Nothobranchius furzeri: one gene and its partners. The main gene of each other region encodes a partner of the protein of the gene in region 2 in a complex. Links are inferred from orthologs where the notes say so. Each region holds a gene or a part of one and is shown on either strand. Other genes may lie near its edges.

What was found.
Region 1: cyclin-dependent kinase 2-associated protein 1 (region 2) and chd5 share a complex: the UniProt entries of both Homo sapiens proteins name them as parts of the nucleosome remodeling and deacetylase (NuRD) repressor complex. The link is inferred for Nothobranchius furzeri from reciprocal best matches to the Homo sapiens genes CDK2AP1 and CHD5.
Region 3: cyclin-dependent kinase 2-associated protein 1 (region 2) and mta1 share a complex: the UniProt entries of both Homo sapiens proteins name them as parts of the nucleosome remodeling and deacetylase (NuRD) repressor complex. The link is inferred for Nothobranchius furzeri from reciprocal best matches to the Homo sapiens genes CDK2AP1 and MTA1.

Annotation. Positions count from the first base shown.
Region 1 is NC_091743.1:75,304,344-75,310,389, forward strand, and holds part of chd5 (chromodomain-helicase-DNA-binding protein 5), read left to right. Parts: coding exon 1-111; intron 112-390; coding exon 391-557; intron 558-3,203; coding exon 3,204-3,422; intron 3,423-3,546; coding exon 3,547-3,753; intron 3,754-4,872; coding exon 4,873-5,084; intron 5,085-5,255; coding exon 5,256-5,387; intron 5,388-5,487; coding exon 5,488-5,596; intron 5,597-5,672; coding exon 5,673-5,864; intron 5,865-6,020; coding exon 6,021-6,046. UniProt on the Homo sapiens protein: ATP-dependent chromatin-remodeling factor that binds DNA through histones and regulates gene transcription. May specifically recognize and bind trimethylated 'Lys-27' (H3K27me3) and non-methylated 'Lys-4' of histone H3.
Region 2 is NC_091746.1:75,833,127-75,839,272, reverse strand, and holds the start of cyclin-dependent kinase 2-associated protein 1, read right to left. Parts: upstream 3,946-6,146; 5' UTR 3,838-3,945; coding exon 3,771-3,837; intron 1,967-3,770; coding exon 1,866-1,966; intron 1-1,865. UniProt on the Homo sapiens protein: Inhibitor of cyclin-dependent kinase CDK2. Also acts as a component of the histone deacetylase NuRD complex which participates in the remodeling of chromatin.
Region 3 is NC_091758.1:21,770,543-21,776,688, forward strand, and holds the start of mta1 (metastasis-associated protein MTA1), read right to left. Parts: upstream 3,071-6,146; 5' UTR 2,959-3,070; coding exon 2,931-2,958; intron 1-2,930. UniProt on the Homo sapiens protein: Transcriptional coregulator which can act as both a transcriptional corepressor and coactivator. Acts as a component of the histone deacetylase NuRD complex which participates in the remodeling of chromatin.

The DNA of each region.
Region 1 (6,046 bases), on a different chromosome or scaffold from region 2:
TGGAGGAGTCAGACTTTGATGACATCAGTATCCACAGTGCCTCGGTGCTTTCTGATACCTCAGGGGCTGCCACCAAGAAAAAGGCCCGGCGTGGGCGGAAAAAAAGGAAAAGTATGTTTACTATTTACTCTTTCTGAGCTCTGGTGTGTGCTTTTCTCCCCCTGAAAAATCCCACAGAAATCTCTCAAAGCCAGACTGTTTGATGACGGGTAATGAGGTAATTAAAAAGTACTTTTTAAAAGCTGTGTTTATTTTGGCAACGCAGGAGAGGTGATCTTTTACAGCAGCTGTTGCTCTAAAACTCATGGAGTTTATTCAGATTTAGAGCCTGATCAGGGTTGAGTAGCTTCGTTTTCGTCAGAACTTAAACAGTTCTTTTGCTTTCCGTAGAGGAGGATGGCGATGGCTATGAGACGGACCACCAGGACTACTGTGAGGTTTGCCAGCAGGGTGGAGAGATTATCTTGTGCGACACCTGTCCACGGGCTTACCACCTGGTCTGTCTGGACCCTGAGCTGGAAAAAGCACCTGAAGGAAAATGGAGCTGTCCACACTGTGTGAGTACATCCATTCATTTAACGTTAAAGTCCCAGTAGTTGTCACACTGGTGTGTGACGTTTGTTCTCCGCATTCGACCCATCACCTGGGGGAGCGGTGAGCTGCAGACACGGAGGCGTTAGGTCCCATTTGTAAAGTCTCTGGTACGACCTGACCATGGATTTGAACCCACGATCCCCCAGTTCCAGGGTGGACATTACCACTCGGTCACTGAGCTGGTAACCCAGAAACTGGCATATTATGTCACTGCCTGCATGCTCATTTATTAAGACAATGCTTTGGGGCAACATCCTGGATGAGCAGAATGTTGGTGATGCAAGTAGAGGAATATGTAGCCCTTTGGAATAATACAGGTAGACAGGATATTTCATCTGCACCATCCTCTGTCTGCTAGTACTGAATCATTATTTAGATGTGGTCCTAAATGTCTTGTTTTGTATTTATCTCATCATTCATTGCACCCATTTTTTCTTGCATCTCGTGAGCATCATTGTTAGCAGTATATAAGCTCTTGATTTCCTGGATGAAAGCTGAGATTGGTGTTTGGGTCCAGTCTAATCAGCAAGTGTCGTTTCAGACTTAATTTGAGTACAAAGTGACATATCCATCGATCCATCCATCCATCCATTTATTTTCTGAACCCGCTTGTCCATGTAGGGTCGCGGGGGGCTGGTGCCTATCTCCAGCGGTCAATGGGCAAGTAGGCGGGGTACACTCTGGACAAAGAGCCAGTCCATCCCAGGGCAACACAGAGACACACAGGACAAACAATGAAGCATGCACACACACACTCAGGACAATTTAGAGAGACCAGTCAACCTGACTATCGTGTTTTTGTGGGAGGAAGCCGGAGTACCCGGAGAGAACCCACGCATGCACAGGGAGAACATGCAAACTCCATGCAGAAAGATCCCAGGCCGGGAAGCGAACCCGGGACCTTCTTGCTGCAAGGCAACAGCTCTAACCACTGCGCCACTGCGCAGCCCTCAAAGTGACATAAATAATGTTAATTCATTGTTTTTAAAGGCATGGGACTCAGAGAAATCATGTAATAATCGTTCTTTATGAAATTCAGTCGGTCACTCTGAGTTTCACATGCACGCTGAATGTGAAAACATTCTCCAGCCCCCAATTCTTGCATTAGCTGCAAAAAGGAAACTGACAATTAAACGATTGGGTCAGAAAAAGCCAGTCTCTTACATGTCACGGGGGAAATTCATGGCCCCGCCTTGGCTTAGGACTGCCCCCAGGAAGGAGAGAGCAAAGTCCATCCTGACTATCCATCCATCCATTTTCTGAACCCACTTTGTCCACGCAGGGTCGCGCGCCGGGGGGTGGGGGGGGGGCTATCTCCAGCGGTCAACGGGCAATCGGGTGGGGTACACCCTGTACAGAGAGCCAGTCCATTGCAGAGCAACACAGAGACACACAGGACAATCGATCAAGCACACACACACTCACACCTAAGGACAATTTAGACAGACCAATCAACCTAACAGTCATGTTTTTGGACTGTGGGAGGAAGCCGGAGTACCCGGAGAGAACCCACATATGCACAGGGAGAACATGCAAACTCCATGCAGAAAGATCCCAGGCTGGGAAGCGAACCCAGGACCTTCTTGCTACAAGGCAACAGCTCTAACCACTGTGCCACTGCGCAGCCCCGTCCTGACTAGCAGAAGCTAACTGTTAGCATTAACAAATCCACAACATAGCGTCACATGTTAATGCTTGTGATGTTTGTGGAGATAAAACATCAATGTTGCACTTTTTACCCAAGAAAGACGAGCGACTGGAAGCAGCAGAACAGTCCTGTTGCTGTCAGCCAATCAGAGGCCAGTAACGGCCAAAATCTAGACGTTTAGCCCACCACCTTATTTAGATGCTGGAATGTCATTAATAACGTGAGCTGATGCACTAAATGTCTGCAGCTGAATCTGTTTTTGAACACTAAATTAAAGTTAAAGCACTGGTCAATGTTTAAATCAGACATCCAACTAAAGTCAAACAAATCAATTACCCAACCAACAATTAATTATTCTCAACGGGTTCTTACAAATAAATTGTAGTTAAATATTAATGTTAGAACATTTCAGATGTTATTCAGGAACATAAATATACCTTTAAATTCTGCAGCAGCTCCAGGCTGCCCTGGGATATGCCTGACTTTAAATCGACTTTACTAAGGAGGAATGTCGGCCGATGCCGATTATATAAAAATATCAGATATCGGCCAGCTGATACATCGCTCTGCTCCTAGTTAAAACATTGTTAAGAGGCATGAAGATTGTCTAGAAGCTAGCTTGTTTTGTAGATTTGCTGCAGCCAGCTGTCTAGATCAGACCGGTTTTCTCCATGAAGGTTTTTGTCACCAAAGAAGTTTACCCTCGTCAGAGCAAACAGTTGCCGGCTGTTTCACGAGATATTTAACGCTTGAATGAATTTGTGAAACAGACCGTGCTCTAGAACGTTTGACTTGAGCACAAAAAATCCTCCAAGCTTTGTTTAAAAAATGCACTTTAATATTTTCATGGAGCAATAAAAATAGCTTATCTAGACAAAGTTATGTTGGCGCCGCTTTATTTAGTGGCTTTCCTCACGAGAAGGAACGTGTTGCATTTTGTTTTGTAACCTTTTATCTTCAGGAGAAGGAGGGAATTCAGTGGGAGGCCAAGGATGAGGAGGAGGAGGAAGAGGAGGCTGCAGGTGAGGAGGAGGATGACCACATGGAGTTTTGCAGAGTGTGTAAAGATGGAGGAGAGCTCCTGTGCTGTGACACGTGCCCTTCGTCCTACCACATCCACTGCCTGAACCCACCTCTTCCTGAGATCCCAAACGGGGAATGGCTGTGTCCTCGCTGCATGGTGAGCTCAGTCCAGATATGTTTAATGCTCTGTATCCTCACAAGCTGGTGTTCATCAACGTTTAGTCCTTTTTTGCTTTGGTTAAGTGGTTTAAACAACATGCATTACTTCTGTTCTTGCTCAGTGTCCTCCTCTCAAAGGAAAAGTTCAGAAGATTCTGCACTGGAGGTGGGGAGACCCTCCGCTGCCGTCGGAATCTCCTGCACATCCTGTTGGCAAGCTGCCTGATCCCATGGCCAAGCCCCCCCTCAAGGGCCGCCCAGAGAGGGAGTTCTTTGTAAAGTGGGCTGGCCTGTCGTACTGGCACTGCTCCTGGGTCAGCGAGCTGCAGGTGAGACGCCAGAGGTGGAGCCGGTTTCCAAAACCAGCATTTAGCAACAGTAACGATCTGTCTTCTGTGATGAATGTGGGACACAGGAAAGTCGGGGGGTTACTGAACATTATTTGGTATTTTAGGTTTTCACAAAAACAAACATCTAGTTTCAGGAGCAAAAGTTACTCAGTTTAGTCACTGACTGTCCTATTTCCAAAGTAGAATGCAATACAATTTCTCTAAAAAATATCATTTTCTAATGAATCTGTTAAGGGCATACTATGCACATTTTTCACATTTTAGGCATTTTCTTGAGCCAGTATGTGCTAAAATGACCCTTTACAGGGTTAATGAAAGGCCATGCTGACCCCCATGCCCTCTGTGGCCAGAATGCTGCCGTGCAACCTCAGAGTATCTGGACCGGTCTGTTATGGGCCATTCCCATCTGTACCGGGTCGGCCCGGGCTGGGTAGCCCCAGTCGGCCCCAGCCTGGCCCGGTTGATTCCACACATCCTTGTCTTAAGCCCATGTGGGCTGATTCTACCCACCAATCAGAGGCTTGCTCTAATGGAAGGTGTGGATTTACTGTCAGCAGTGGGTGTGTTGGCCCTGGTCGGCCTGAAGCAGACCCCCTCGAGAAGAGGGCTGAGAATGAGCCTTGGTTGGCCCGGAAAAATACCAGGCCGCCCAGATGTGTAAACAACCTACGCTACCCGGCCCGGGCCGACCCGGTACAGATGGGAATGGCCCATAAGTCAGTAGTAAAGTGGAGCTGACACGCTAGTGCTGAAGTCTGCTTCCAGGGCATTTCCTGCATGTTGTAGATCATCAACACAGCTGATTTGTTTGAGTTGGTGATGAATCACTCCTGTAGAAGCTAATGAAGGCTGAGGAGACATTTCAGCAGTTAGATTAAGATGTTTTATGAGATGAACGCACAGCAAAGAAGAGTTTCACTTTTGGTTCTACGACAGTAAATGATTAAAGGACTCTACGGGGTGCTAAAAGCAAACTAAATCTACTGAACGTGGCTTTAAGTAGGAGTTTACCTGACCAGAATCGTCTGTGTGTGTGCGTGTGCGTGTACGTGTGTCTGTGTATTGTGTGTGCGTGTGCGTGTGTTTGGGGTCGTGCAGCTGGAGCTTTACCACACGGTCATGTATCGGAACTACCAGCGCAAGAACGACATGGACGAGCCCCCGCCATTTGACTACGGCTCCGGAGAAGAGGAGCTCAACAACGAGAAGAGGAAGAGCAAAGACCCCCAGTACGCTGTGATGGAGGAGCGCTTCTACCGTTACGGCATCAAACCAGAATGGATGGTTATCCACCGGATGGTGAACCACAGGTGCCTGCTTGCACTCACTCTCAAAGTTTGTCATCATTTAAATGAGGAATAATTATTTTTGTAAAGGAACCACAATGTTTACATTTAGTTATTTTCTTTTTCTTGTTTTCTTCTTAGTCATGTAATCCCAAACATTCCAGTCCCAACATAAAAATCTTGTCTCCTCTGTAGTTTTGACAAAGATGGTGATGTGCATTTCCTGATCAAGTGGAGAGACCTACCATACGATCAGTGCACGTGGGAGATGGATGATTTTGACGTTCCGGAATATGAAATACATAAATCGTTATACTGGGACCACAGGTAGCGACATTCTGCAGCTTTTACCTTTACTGTCAGCCCTCTCATCTGTTTGAGTCGCTGAGTCCTGCCATCCAAAGAAACTTCTGCACTTGTTTTTCAGAGAGCAAATATTAGGAGAAGACCAGCGCCCTCTGGTGGTCAGGAAAGGAAAGAAGCAGAAAGAGGACTACCCAAAAAGAGAAGTCCCTCCGGATGCTCCTATCATAGATGTGAGGTGCTTTTGTTACTTAGGGGACCACTTTTGTTTATTTATTCAATATCTCTCTTGTGTTTTTGCATCCTCAGCCAACCATAAAGTTTGAGCACCAGCCCTGGTACATAAATGCCACTGGGGGAACACTGCACCCGTACCAGCTAGAGGGACTGAACTGGTTGAGATTTTCCTGGGCTCAAGGGACAGATACCATCCTGGCCGATGAAATGGGCCTCGGGAAGACGGTGCAGACGATCGTTTTTCTCTACTCGCTGTATAAGGAGGTGAGGCTTGTGGCAAGCTTTTATTCTTAACTAAAAATGCTTATTCCTGTAAGATAAATGGTAATATGCACTTGGATTTAGTCATTTTTGGACAGCTGATGAAGTTATAATGTTTTATGTGAAATGCTGTAACAGTGTCTTTCTTCTCGCTTTCAGGGTCATTCCAAGGGGCCGTTCTTGGT
Region 2 (6,146 bases):
AGATTCCTCCAACACCGTTAAAAATGATCAAATACGGACCATATCGGCGTGCGCAGGCCAGAGTGCTGAAGTTCGGCGCATTGTTATTATGAAGCTAGGGAACATGTGGAGGACACACACACACGCGCAAAAATATACTTGTTTTCAATTGCATTTATTGGGCCCACTTACGTTTTCTTAGGCCCACCCACAAATGAGTTTCTGGCAACGCTAATGGTGACTTTTGACAGACTTCTCTGAGCTCGGCAGCCATTACACTTTTCACCTTGTACACCCCCTAGCGGCAGCTCGCGCACCCCCAGGGGAGCGCGCAGCACACTTTAGCCCCATTCCCACCTGTACCGGGTCGGCCCGGGCCGGGTAGCCCCAGTCGGCCCCAGCCTGGCCCAGTTGATTCCACACATCCTTGCCTTAAGCCCATGTGGGCTGATTCTACCCACCAATCAGAGGCTTGCTCTAATGGAAGGTGTGAATGGGCTGATTCTACCCACCAATCAGAGGCTTGCTCTAATGGAAGGTGTGAATTTGCTGTCAGCAGTGGGCGTGTTGGCCCTGGTCGGCCTGAAGCAGTACCCCTCGGGAAGAGGGCCGAGAATGAGCCTTGGTTGGCCCGGGAAAATTCCAGGCCACCCAGATATGTAAACAACCTACGCTACCCGGCCCGGGCCGACCCGGTACAGATGGGAATGGCCCATTTGGGAATCCCTGATGTAGACAAATAAACTTGTTGATATGATATGTAGATAAATATGTAGATACATAAACTTGTTTATATTCAGTACAAGTTACATAGATTATTTTTTGTTTTTGCTTCCGTTAGTTGAAAAATGAGAAAAGCCCCTTGAGAAAATAATTGTGAATTAAACTGCAATTGCAATATTGAAGAAAAAAATCGCAATTAGATTATTTTACAAAATCGTTCAGCCCTAGTTCAGAGTATTTTAAGCTAAGCTAACGCTATTAGAAGTACCCATTTCAATCGGGAAAATAAGTGCGCTTTTATCATTCTGAACCGGAAGTTGACTGCCAATGTTGAGGGTAGCTTGACAAAGCGGACATTTGTTGGCTTTATGTAAGCTGATGGCAAGTAGTGACATCTGACTGTTTAGTTTGGATAATGGGCTCGACACACGGGAGGCGACGTCGCCTCTCCTCCATTAATTTTCAATGAGACATGCGTGACAAAGCGATAATCGCGGGTCTCCCTCCTACCAAGCGAAACGCGAAAAACGTGCGTGTGAAACTTTGCACTCGTGCACGTGTCGTGCACGGACGACCCAGCGACGCGATCCCAGAAAGTTGAAACATTTTCAACTTTTCATCGCTGTCGCTCGGATGAGGACCAATCAACGGAGGTTTCATTCACTGACCAATGAGCGGACAGGATGCTCCGTACATCTCCGAGCAAACATGGAGGAGAAGTTGATTATTATTATGTTTTATAGTAAAATCAGAAGTAAGATTTCACATAACTCTAGCAGCACCTTGTGAAACATCATATCTACCACTTTATTAACTCTGAACCGCTTAAATAACCTTAATTCCCTCCAACCTGACACAGCCAATCAAAACAACGGAAGTTTCGATTTCGCCGTGGAACAGAACGCGTAGACGGCTTTGCCGCTGGCCGCTACCGCGGATCGCCTCCCGTGTGACAGGTAATAAAAGCGACGGCGACAAATTTCACTGATCGCGGTCGTTTGTCGCCTCCCGTGTGTCGAGCCCCTAATAACCGATTATGTGTTGGCAGATGGTTGATATTTGGATGTGGAGTTTCTTGTATAATTTGTTTAAGTTAGACTACACTGTACCTCTAGTACACTAAAATTTAAATAAAACTTCTTTTGGCCAATGGCAGCAGTCACCTGCGAGAATCCCAGAGATGGAGGTCCATAGTCGCTCAGAATGGGCCTGTAGGACTGCAACGTGGCCAGGTTAGCTGCCGACGGAGAAGGAAGGTTCCCAACTGTATGGAGAACAAATAAAAAATCCACATCAGTTCAAATAAACATAGATATTCAATATATGGCTAATTTGTCGCTATTGCAACGTCGTTGCAGCGATCTGCCGTTGATGTCCACGCCCAGTTAAGAGGTTCTGAAACGCTAAAACTCACAGCAAGTGTTGGGAATGCTGTGGTGACAGAATGGAGGAGCGAGGACAACGAATAAAACTGAATGTTTCCCCAATTCTGTGTAGCATTGTTCTCAATATCCTTTCATAAACAGTAGGAGGAAAATATTTATACAACATTTTTATAGCCTAATGACCAGTTAAAGCGCTTTACACACACACACACACACACACACAGGATTCAGAGTCTTGCCCAAGGACATTTCCACATGTGGGAGAAGTCAGGATTGAACCACCAAAGATTTCAAACTGAAGCAATTCTAAAGTAAATATCCTCCCACCAACCAAAAGCGTGTCTTTGGGTGTAAATGGCTGTCTCTGGTGTGAGTCAGAGTGGTTGCTTGTCTCTGTGTTCCTGTGAGGGACTGGAGACTTGTCTAGGGTGACCACTCGTCCGCAGAATGCTGAGACACCAGTTCCCCAAGACCCTATAGAGGATGAGGCGGCACAGAAAAGGAGTCTTCTTCTTTGGCTTTGGGCATGTCCCTCTACAGCCAGTCATCTGTCTCCTTCTAGTCCTGTCTTCCACATCCTCTACCCTCACACCAACTAATGTTATGTCCTCTTTCACTGAATCCCCCCTCAACCTCCTGCCTGCTGACTCCACCCTCGGCATCCTTCTACCTACGTAATGTTTCCTCTGGACCTCTAAGTCTGGTCTCTCTGACTTCATCTCCAAAACAGTGTTCTGCAACCCTGGTCCTCCAGATCTCCTATGTTTTAGTCATTTATTCGTCCCAACAAATGTGACTAACATGCTTCTGCAGCACTTAGTAATTCAACCACTGATTCAGGTTCTTTGGAGCGGGGAAACAAGTAAAACATGCTGGATATGGGAGCCCTCCAGGAGCCCGCTGACCTAACATGAGCTGTCCCCCTGATAAACTCACTCCTGATGCTCATCACTCCCAAACAGAGCCAGAAAATGAGTGAGTGAAAACACAAAGTTCGTAAAATAAAACAGAGGGCTTTTCTTTTGTTAGACATGTTTTCTGCCTTCACTACACCTGGAACTGTAGTGACATCAACAATATATTGATATACTAAAACTCTTTTTAAAAACGCGTTTAAAGAATCTCACGTTGATTGTTCTATTGTAAGCCAGTGATGCTAATTTCATGTAAAACCCGTTTGTGAACACGTTATTAACCCTCTCACACAGCGCCGCGCTGCCTCTTTGTTTAGCTGCAGTACCCGTGTCCAACACCAGGTGTCCTCGATGGGACGTAAAATTCTCAGAGGCAGATCAATCGGCAGCTCCGACCGAGGAGCATCATGGAGGGAACAGAACAAGGCTGGCTCAAGAAGACATAAGTGATACATTTTTGTCACCGTGTAACGGCAACCCCCCGGCGGGACCGCGGCCCCGGACGACGGAGAAACCCATTTTCGGAACCGCCGCCGCCTCGTTTCTCATCCCCACCGTGTTTCTCGGCCGCCGCGGCTCCCGGATGGCGCTCTTTTACATTAGTAATAATGGCGGATATGAATTAGCCTAGCTCCCAGGATCTGACCCTATATATATAACTGGACAAAAACTACAGACACGGTCTTCTCCAGGTATTCTCCGAGACCCCGAATTTAACACTCGATTTAACAGGCGGATGCTTGGATTTTCTCCCACGGTTTCGCCTTACCCTGGTTCCCAGAAGTTCCCGGAATGTGCTGATGGGCATTGGGTTTATAAGACATTCCCAGAGACATTGTAAATTAAAGAAATAAAAATGACCCGAAATTCAGTGAAGCGTCTGTCTCTCACTTTTTGTTTACAACAGCGGCACCGGCAAATATGGCCGTCACTTTATATTGACACCCACCGAGTTTCTACCATCCACTGCGGCTCAGCAGGAAAAACACTTAAAACACGGTTTTCACCAAGAAGGCGTGAAAATCAGCCGCTTTTACACACATTTAGCCTGATTTTATGTAAGAAAGTTAACTCCGGCCCACGGACTTTTAACACTTACAGAAGAATCAACTTTTGAAGGTTTTTATGTTAACTTTGAAATTTTATTTTTCAGATTAAAAGAAAATAATGAGTTTTTACATCATAACAAGAAACTTGATGCAGATGTTTGGAGATGCTTAGTTTGCGTTAAGTCAAACAAATGAGCGAGTTTTATTTACAACACTTAAAAAAATTATGAAAGAAAATAAAGAAATTAAATTACCTAATTTGTTTTGTGTGGGAACTTCCATCGTTTTATTCGCGGATGTTTTAAACCAAAAATCAAAGCAGAAGGCAGGAGCTGTTCTGGTGACCCATGTGCTCGTCTTCTTTTTAAAACTAGGCTTTTCAGGGATCCCTTTTTTCCCCCATCAGGCCACGTGGTTGGACAGTGTTAGTCCCAGTGTCGTGACCCCAGTAGGGCAGGGGCCCCCACAATCGCTGACCCGAGGCTGGAGCACGTTTTTATGGAGCATCATCGCTGGCAACTTACAAACTAAGCGTAATCACAAACCGCTGAAGTAAAAATAGGCAAAGGTAATCCACAAAATAAAAGGCTATTTTCATTTGTATAAGTTTATACAGAAACTATTAAAAAGTACTTGTAGTGGCTTTTTGGACAATTGTACACTCTCTGTGTAATGCACATTTTCCAATAGCCACTAGTATTATATATATTTATACATACTTTAATGCTATTTTAGCATTAGTTGTAGAATTTTTTAAGTCTAAACCTCTATAAGGACACAATTTAAAAATGAAAATACATAAACCTGAAAGTAGCTACAAAAAAAAATTTAAGTTAAACCATCAAATTATGAAATATAGTCAATAACTAATGTTTTATATTTGGTGTTTATTTTCTAGTTTGTACAAAAACCAACAGGGTTTATTGAGAATGCACTCCTTCTTGCACAGGTACTGGTGAGTCAGTACAAGTCTTGTCACTAGTGCAACTCCAGCGATGATTTAGGTGGGAGAAAGTCCTTCTGTTGTTTCCGGAGAATCTTAAGCGACCCTTCCCCTTACAACAGCATTCAAAAACAACCTGCACACACTGCAGTTCGTGTACATGACAAAAGCGCGAGGCGTCCGCTTTTAAAAGGTGCACATTCAAGTTAAAACGTAAGCTGCGATTCAGGAGCAGCTCCCCCAGTGCTTTCCAGAGACTGAGATCCACCGTGTGAAGAATTCCAAACTGTACAAATAATACAAAGGTCTGTTTTTAAATGCATCGTCGGTCAAGCAGACGTGGATGCAGACCCACCGCCAGCTAATCCAGAGGATCGGGGTATGTTCGAGAAACCTGCCCCACAAAAACGCATCCTGAGTTTAACAGCCAGTCTTCAGACCTAGTGAGATGTAGGAGTGAGGGGGCAAAAGGGTCACACTTTACCACAGAAAGATTTAATTACAACAGGACCTAAAGAAAGGAGACACCCGTTTGAAATATGTACAAAGAAAACAAGCTGCAAGTCCAGCTGAACGCAGCGAAACATCACTGAAACTGAAGACTCTGGTCATGCTTTTTGGAGCTCTGGGTACGAGCGCCTCCCCTGAGCAGACTCAACAAAAACGGTGTGAAGCCGTCAGGTCAGACTGCTCTGGAAGCAGATAAAGATCATTTCATCAACTCTACATGAATGAAAATCCAACTGCTATAAACTCAAACTCGGGTCAAATGGGGGAGGGGGGGCATCTTTTGGAAAGACCGGGAGTGCAGCAACACAAAATCAGCGGTTATTAGAATGTTAAATAACATTTAACGGATTTATAACACAGACCTCATAATGAGTTTTAACTGAATTGTCAAAAACCTGCAGCTTTTCCTTTTGAGCATCTAGTGGAAGAAAATATCTACAACAGAAAACTAGAAATATACAAAATCTGGACAAAGAAAATCCTTTTTAGCAAACATTAAGCTTCAAACTCATTACATGCTGCCACATCTCCTATCAATAATAAACCGAGCCACTGCTGCAGCGAATCCCTTCTGCATCACTTGAGTTGGTCTTCCCCGCAGACGTGTGTGACGAACATCTTCAGGGCTTCACCGGGCTCCTGA
Region 3 (6,146 bases), on a different chromosome or scaffold from region 2:
TGCTGATATTTTGCATTCCGTATTCTGCGCTTCAGGCTGTGTGTGTGTGGGGGGGTGGGGGGGTGGGGGTCTTGTTCTGTGTGAAAACAAAGCAGTACAAGTGATAATGCTGCAGGATTTCATAATTTTATCCTTCTCAGCAGCAACACTGCAGGTGCTCTCCATGTCCAAAATGTACGTAAGCCAGGTCCTTAGTCAACTTAAAGTTGCGCACATTTTTCTACTACGTTTTCTTTCATGAATCCCAAAGTTTGCGTGGAAAGTTGCTTACGCAGTTTTCCGACCCCGTTTTGTGCGTAAGCAAGCCTGATAAATGAGGCCCCAGAACTTAGAGATGTGGTGGAATGGGAGATTCATCGTGTATGTTGCTATGTGATGCAGTCATGTTAATTTGGACCAACATGGACTCTGAGAAATGCATCTATAATCTTGTAGAATTCATTTCTGAAGGCATCTGCCTCCAGTAAGCTGTACCTAATAAAGTGACCAGTGGGTGGATGCATTTTAGGGGAACATTTTGCTGATTGGCTTGTTGCAGTTCTGAAAAATACCAACTAGCAGAGTCACCACAGCTTCCAGTAGAAACAGGGGCTTAATAATGGACTCCTGCTCCACAAATGCTGGGAACGAGAGATTAGAGCTAATTCTGTAATCTTGCACGAAAAGGCTTTTAAGACACTAATTTCAGGTTTTGGCACTTAATATTCTCACAGTTAATTTCTCAACATGTAGACACAAATAATTTAAATACATTTTACAACAAAAAGGACAGAATCAAAAAGGAAATCTACTTTTACTCTGATCAAGAAAAACAGACATTTTACATGTTAGCTGCTGTTTATCAGATGTGATGCTGCACCGCCTCTCAAAACTCTGGGTGTTTTTTCTCATAACGACGTTATTCAAGCAGATCAGAATCGGATGCAGGAAATAAAAGAATATTTTAAAATGAAATGCGTTTTAAGAACAGGTGCAGATTTTCTGTTGCAGCTCGAGTGGTTTGCACGGAGTTGAAGATAGCGGTTTTACATTAAACCTCAGGGAAAAAAGTTTGGACAGGGCTGCAGTTGATGGAATAAAATATGATTTGTGAGATTTCCCAAAACGTCACAGAAAACCTACTGCTGCAGCTGCGTGTGTGTGTGTGTGTGTGTGTGTGTGTGTGTGTGTGTGTGTGTGTGTGTGTGTGTGTGTGTGTATTTTACCTCAGCTGTTATGTAGATTAAACAAACCCTATTCTTAAGCTTGACACAACTTCTGTATAACAAACAATTATTAAGCATGGTCCTTTATTAGCCAATCACATTCATTTCAGGATGCATGCCCACTGACTAAATCCCTCCAATAAAAATTCTGGATTTCTACAATTTATAATAATAAAATCAAACCACCACGTACAGTTCCTCTTCCCATTTACTCAGCAATTTACTGAACTAGGTCTGAACTTGGTGGTCTGACACACTTCTTCAACATATTTTTTGGATGGGGACACAAGGAAAAAGGTGATACAGGCAGCAGATGAGTGGTTTGTGGCCAGCACAGTTAAAAAAATAAAAATAAAAAGACATCAAAGCCCAAGGATGCTTCTTATTATCTTGTAAAATTGCAGCCATCTCTTCAAGGGCAGCTCTTTGTTGTGATGCTGCTCTGAAAGGATCCTTGTTATCAGGCCTCATTTCTGGCCTTTTTTTAATCTAGATTATTACAACAGAAGAAAAATAATCCCAAAGTGTGTTTACTCAGCAATTAATAAGAGTTCATTGTTGTGGTTTCAGTTCAGTTTGGCCAAATTCAATTATTACTAGGTTTACTAGACAGACTCAACAATATTTTACTAAAATAACAACTTAAGACGTAAATGTGAGTGGTTTAGTGCCATTTGATATATATCACTTGCTGGAGTAAAGTGAAGTAACATGTGTTCCAAAATGTGCATTTTCAGCTAATAAACAAACAGCAAAGGAAAATAATCTTTGCACAACTGGTTTGAAAAACCTAGCGCATCAATAAAACTGAGTGGCATGAAGAAACTGAACAAAGTGACATTTGGTGACTGAATTGTTAACTTTCTACCCCTCTCTGGACTAATCCTGTTCTCACGCAGGTAGGCCTCCTTTAATTTGATATATGACGTTCACTTTGGGCTATTTCTGATGCTGTATCCGAGCCAAGTACAGTCACAGCATCCCTGAATTACAGAACAGTTGTCAGAGTAAATATGTGGTAATGTACAACAACACAGAAACGCTCACTATACAACATCATTCCAAACAGGAGTGGACACTAATCTGGGCACTAAAGTATGTGGAAAATAAATAAATAAAAACAAAAAGATCACGATTGGACACTGCCACGTGACTATCTTACACCTGTCTTACCTGAGTGGGACTCAAGAATCTTCATTAGGTATTAAGAGACTCCCTGGATGTGCAAAAAGCTTAATCTGGAATATTTTGTTGGTCATTTCTACATTTAAAGTGTTAAAACTAAATGTAGTGTAAAGTTTTTGTCCCGGCTGCCTCCTTGCATTGATGCCTATGCGGTTCCAGTAAAGTACTCACGATGTTCCTTACAGGAGGCAGCAGAAAGAACAATAGTTAGGTGAAACTTTCAGAAAACCCGTGACATGTTATTTAAAATAAACTAAACCGTCATGGAGGGTTCAGGTGTGCCAGAACACCGAGATGGCTCTCTGGGTTCATTAAGGGGGAAAACAGCAAAAGAAGCAAATGTTTAAGAGAACCGCTCGCTGCTCTTCATCACCATCCTCCTCCTCCTCACCATCATCTGCGAGAAGCACAAAGCTCTCCCAGCTTACGGAAATGTTTTTAAAAGACGAGCCACGCTCATAACGAGCTTCCGTGGGTAATGGCGAGTCCGCCGAGTAAAAACGCCACACGGCTCCGAAACGCAAACGCCCCAAAGCTTACCTCCAACCCGGTACATGTTGGCTGCCATGACTGCCCCCGGTCCCGGGCTTCCTCTCCAGGTAGAGGGGTGGCTCTCTGCTCTCTCCCGCTGCCGGAGCTGTGTGTTGGAAAATGGTGGATTGATCAATACGAAACAGACTGCCCGAGAGACCTTAAAGAGACAGTACACCTTTTCAGGAAACCCAACTTATCGGCACGGATAACAAAGGGCGCGTTAATCTCACTACTTATTACCTTTATAACATCGTCAGTGGCTAACTACGCCATTATTTCTTAATATATATCTCAATATGCGTCACAGTCACCGCAGTAGCCCACCGCCTTTCGGTTTAGTCGTGTTTTTGTTAATAGTTAAAGTAGTTATCTGGTAGTTAGAATAGTTATTAAGATAAAGTAAACTCGCCTGTTTTTGTAACTTTGTCCCAATTTTTTGTTCTCCCTCATCAACTGAAATATCGCGAGATTTGAGAGTAAACCCCTTTACGTGACCTCTGGGTCACGCTTGACGTTAGAAGGGGTGTAATTAATAATTATTTTATCGTCTACACTGCTGTGCTCAGTGAAATCAACAATTTAATTATTTTGCTATAAAAATGCAAACTGAATGCAATATATTTTAAATAAGCCCCAAAACTCAAGGAGTTGACCCACTAATTTCCCTTCCCTGGGACAAATAAAGCTTTTCATTCATTTCATTCGTCATTCACTATGTTTATGAACTGTACAAGGAGTTCATGGGGATTGTATATAGAAATGTATCATGGGTTTATTCGCTCATTTAATTCATTTCCAAATATGTGTATTATTTTAAAAGAAGCAGTTTAACTCTCATCTTATTCTGAAGGTGTTTACCGGCCTTAACAACACTAGCAGAACAATCTGTACAGATCATTTTATTAGCAAAAATTTACACGTACAAGTGAATTGTATCAGTGACTGAACCAAAATAAGGACACATACTGCTGTTGCCTAGACGTCAATGCGCAAAATAAAGTACACAGTGTTCTATCGAGGCAAAAACATGCCAAGTGACTCATGGAATGATAATTTGGAACATGCAAGGTTTTAACATTATAAAAAATATCCAGGGATTTCCATGACTCAATAGTTAAATGTTTGCGTTTATGTTGTCTTTTGTTGAAATGGTAAAGGAGAAATGTACTGTAGCATAATCCACCATACAAAATAAATTATACATTTGCTCTGCTTTTGTTATTTTCCCAACACAAACACATACTCTTCTTGGATCCTTGCAGCATGTTGCTACTTATGTATAAATAATACATAAATTGCCTCAAACACCCTGCAAGAGAAATTCTTCTGCTGTCAGAGAAATCATTAGCAAGTGTTAAATATGAGTGACACTCTGTGATGAGAGAATGCAGCATGGTTTTTCCACAGCTTTGTTTTTAAATCTGGATGTGAGTGTAGAGCCTCAGTGCAGGAGGAATGCTGTGGTGAACGCTACATATGATCTATACCATATGGAAGCTTCAATTACTGTGGCCTAACACAAGGGACTACAGTCTGCAGTCACATGACTGTTGCGGGCCAATCGTGTGTAGTTGCAGTGTGCACTCGTTAAGTGTGCAGCATGTGAAGAATCCTGTTTTAAATCCTAGAGCTCTTTTATGGCAAAAAACAAGAGACATGCAGCATGGGAGGGTTTTACACAATAATCTTCAATTTGATCATTTTGAGTTTCCACGGCTCCATGTAATATTCTGTGTTTTTATGTCTGCCGGTATGGGCTTAATTGAAGAAAAAGGAATAGTCGACTGTAGCCTGATTTTTGGGAACTGTATCTACTTTCATTAGACCTGTTTACTTGGCAGCTTGCTGCTGTTGCAGATGTTCATTTTGAATCTACTTGCTCCTCTGCCAGATGTTGCTGTAGTCAGGATGACGAGCAGACAAGCGTGCAGGCAGGGCAGGTGTTTTCCCTGGTGGATTCCAGTCTGTAGTTTGGCTCAAAACTCAGCAAATCTTCTGAAACTTTTTTATTTGCTATCCTGGAAGATGACCTTGGATGAATTCCCTTCCCTCTTCTCCAACACGTTGCAGCTAGAGATGCACGGGAGAGACAAAGACACAAAGGAAATCAATTAGGACTGTATCCCTGAAGAAGCATCACATGCCACTGAATGTGCTTCCACAGATCTCTCTCTGGTGGGTGTAAGAAGGAAGGGTTAGAAATAAGGCCATTGTCGTGGCACTTTCTCCTGAACACCTCACAGAGAATATTCTTGATTAACTGAATGAAAAGCCTAATTACTTTTATTATAGAGCAACCTGTGACATAGCTCACTGGAGGGCACTTTATAAAGGAATGATAACTATATTGGTGCATGTTGACCTGAACTGTATTAGTCTAATTATGACATGTTCTGCACATGTTGAATCATGCTGTACAACTGAATTATAGTGGCTGTGAAATCAACAATTTTGGTTTTAATGATACAAATGACTGTTATAAATCCCACCATTCCTGCATTTATACCTAGAATACTAATAGACTCAGTAGGGTCGCACAGTTCATTTTATTTGGTGATGAGGTCAAGCAGGAATCCCCATGGACCATGTTTCAGACAATATTGTTGGCTGCAGTGGGAGCAGGTGGAAGAGAACCTGGAAAGGCAGACGAATTAAATCCTATAAAAGCCAGACAGAATGCATGTGTGTAAATAAAAAAAATGCAAAAATCAAACTTGAATTTTAAAATTAGTTGTGATTTTAAAAACTCTAGAGAGCTTGCTAATCAGACTTCTACATGAGGGTGATGCCATATTCTAAGAGCCTGATCAAAGAACGCAAAGACCCCTGCGCAACTTGGAGGACTTGATGAGAACCTTAGAGGGTTCAATGGTTCAGCGCTTTGTAGAGGAGTTTAAAATGAAACGTGAACTCTACAGGAAGCCAGTGTAGTGAGGTGAGAATGAGGAAGATTTGAGAGCAAAATGTGGTCTTGCTGATGAGGTTTGGACTAAATAGGGAGTCTTGGTTTAAACAAGGATAAACAGAGCTGGGCAATAAATCGAAAATTAATTTTTATCGAAATTTCTGACTCTAACCGATATAATTTTTCCCATGCCAAAAATTCAGTAATAAAACAAATAGAAAGATGTGTGTGGGTTGTGAGGTTCATGTCCCTTTAAGAAGCTGTTCCATCTGGAGTCACATGACACGTGACAGCTCCATCTAGTGGGCAGCTTTTAT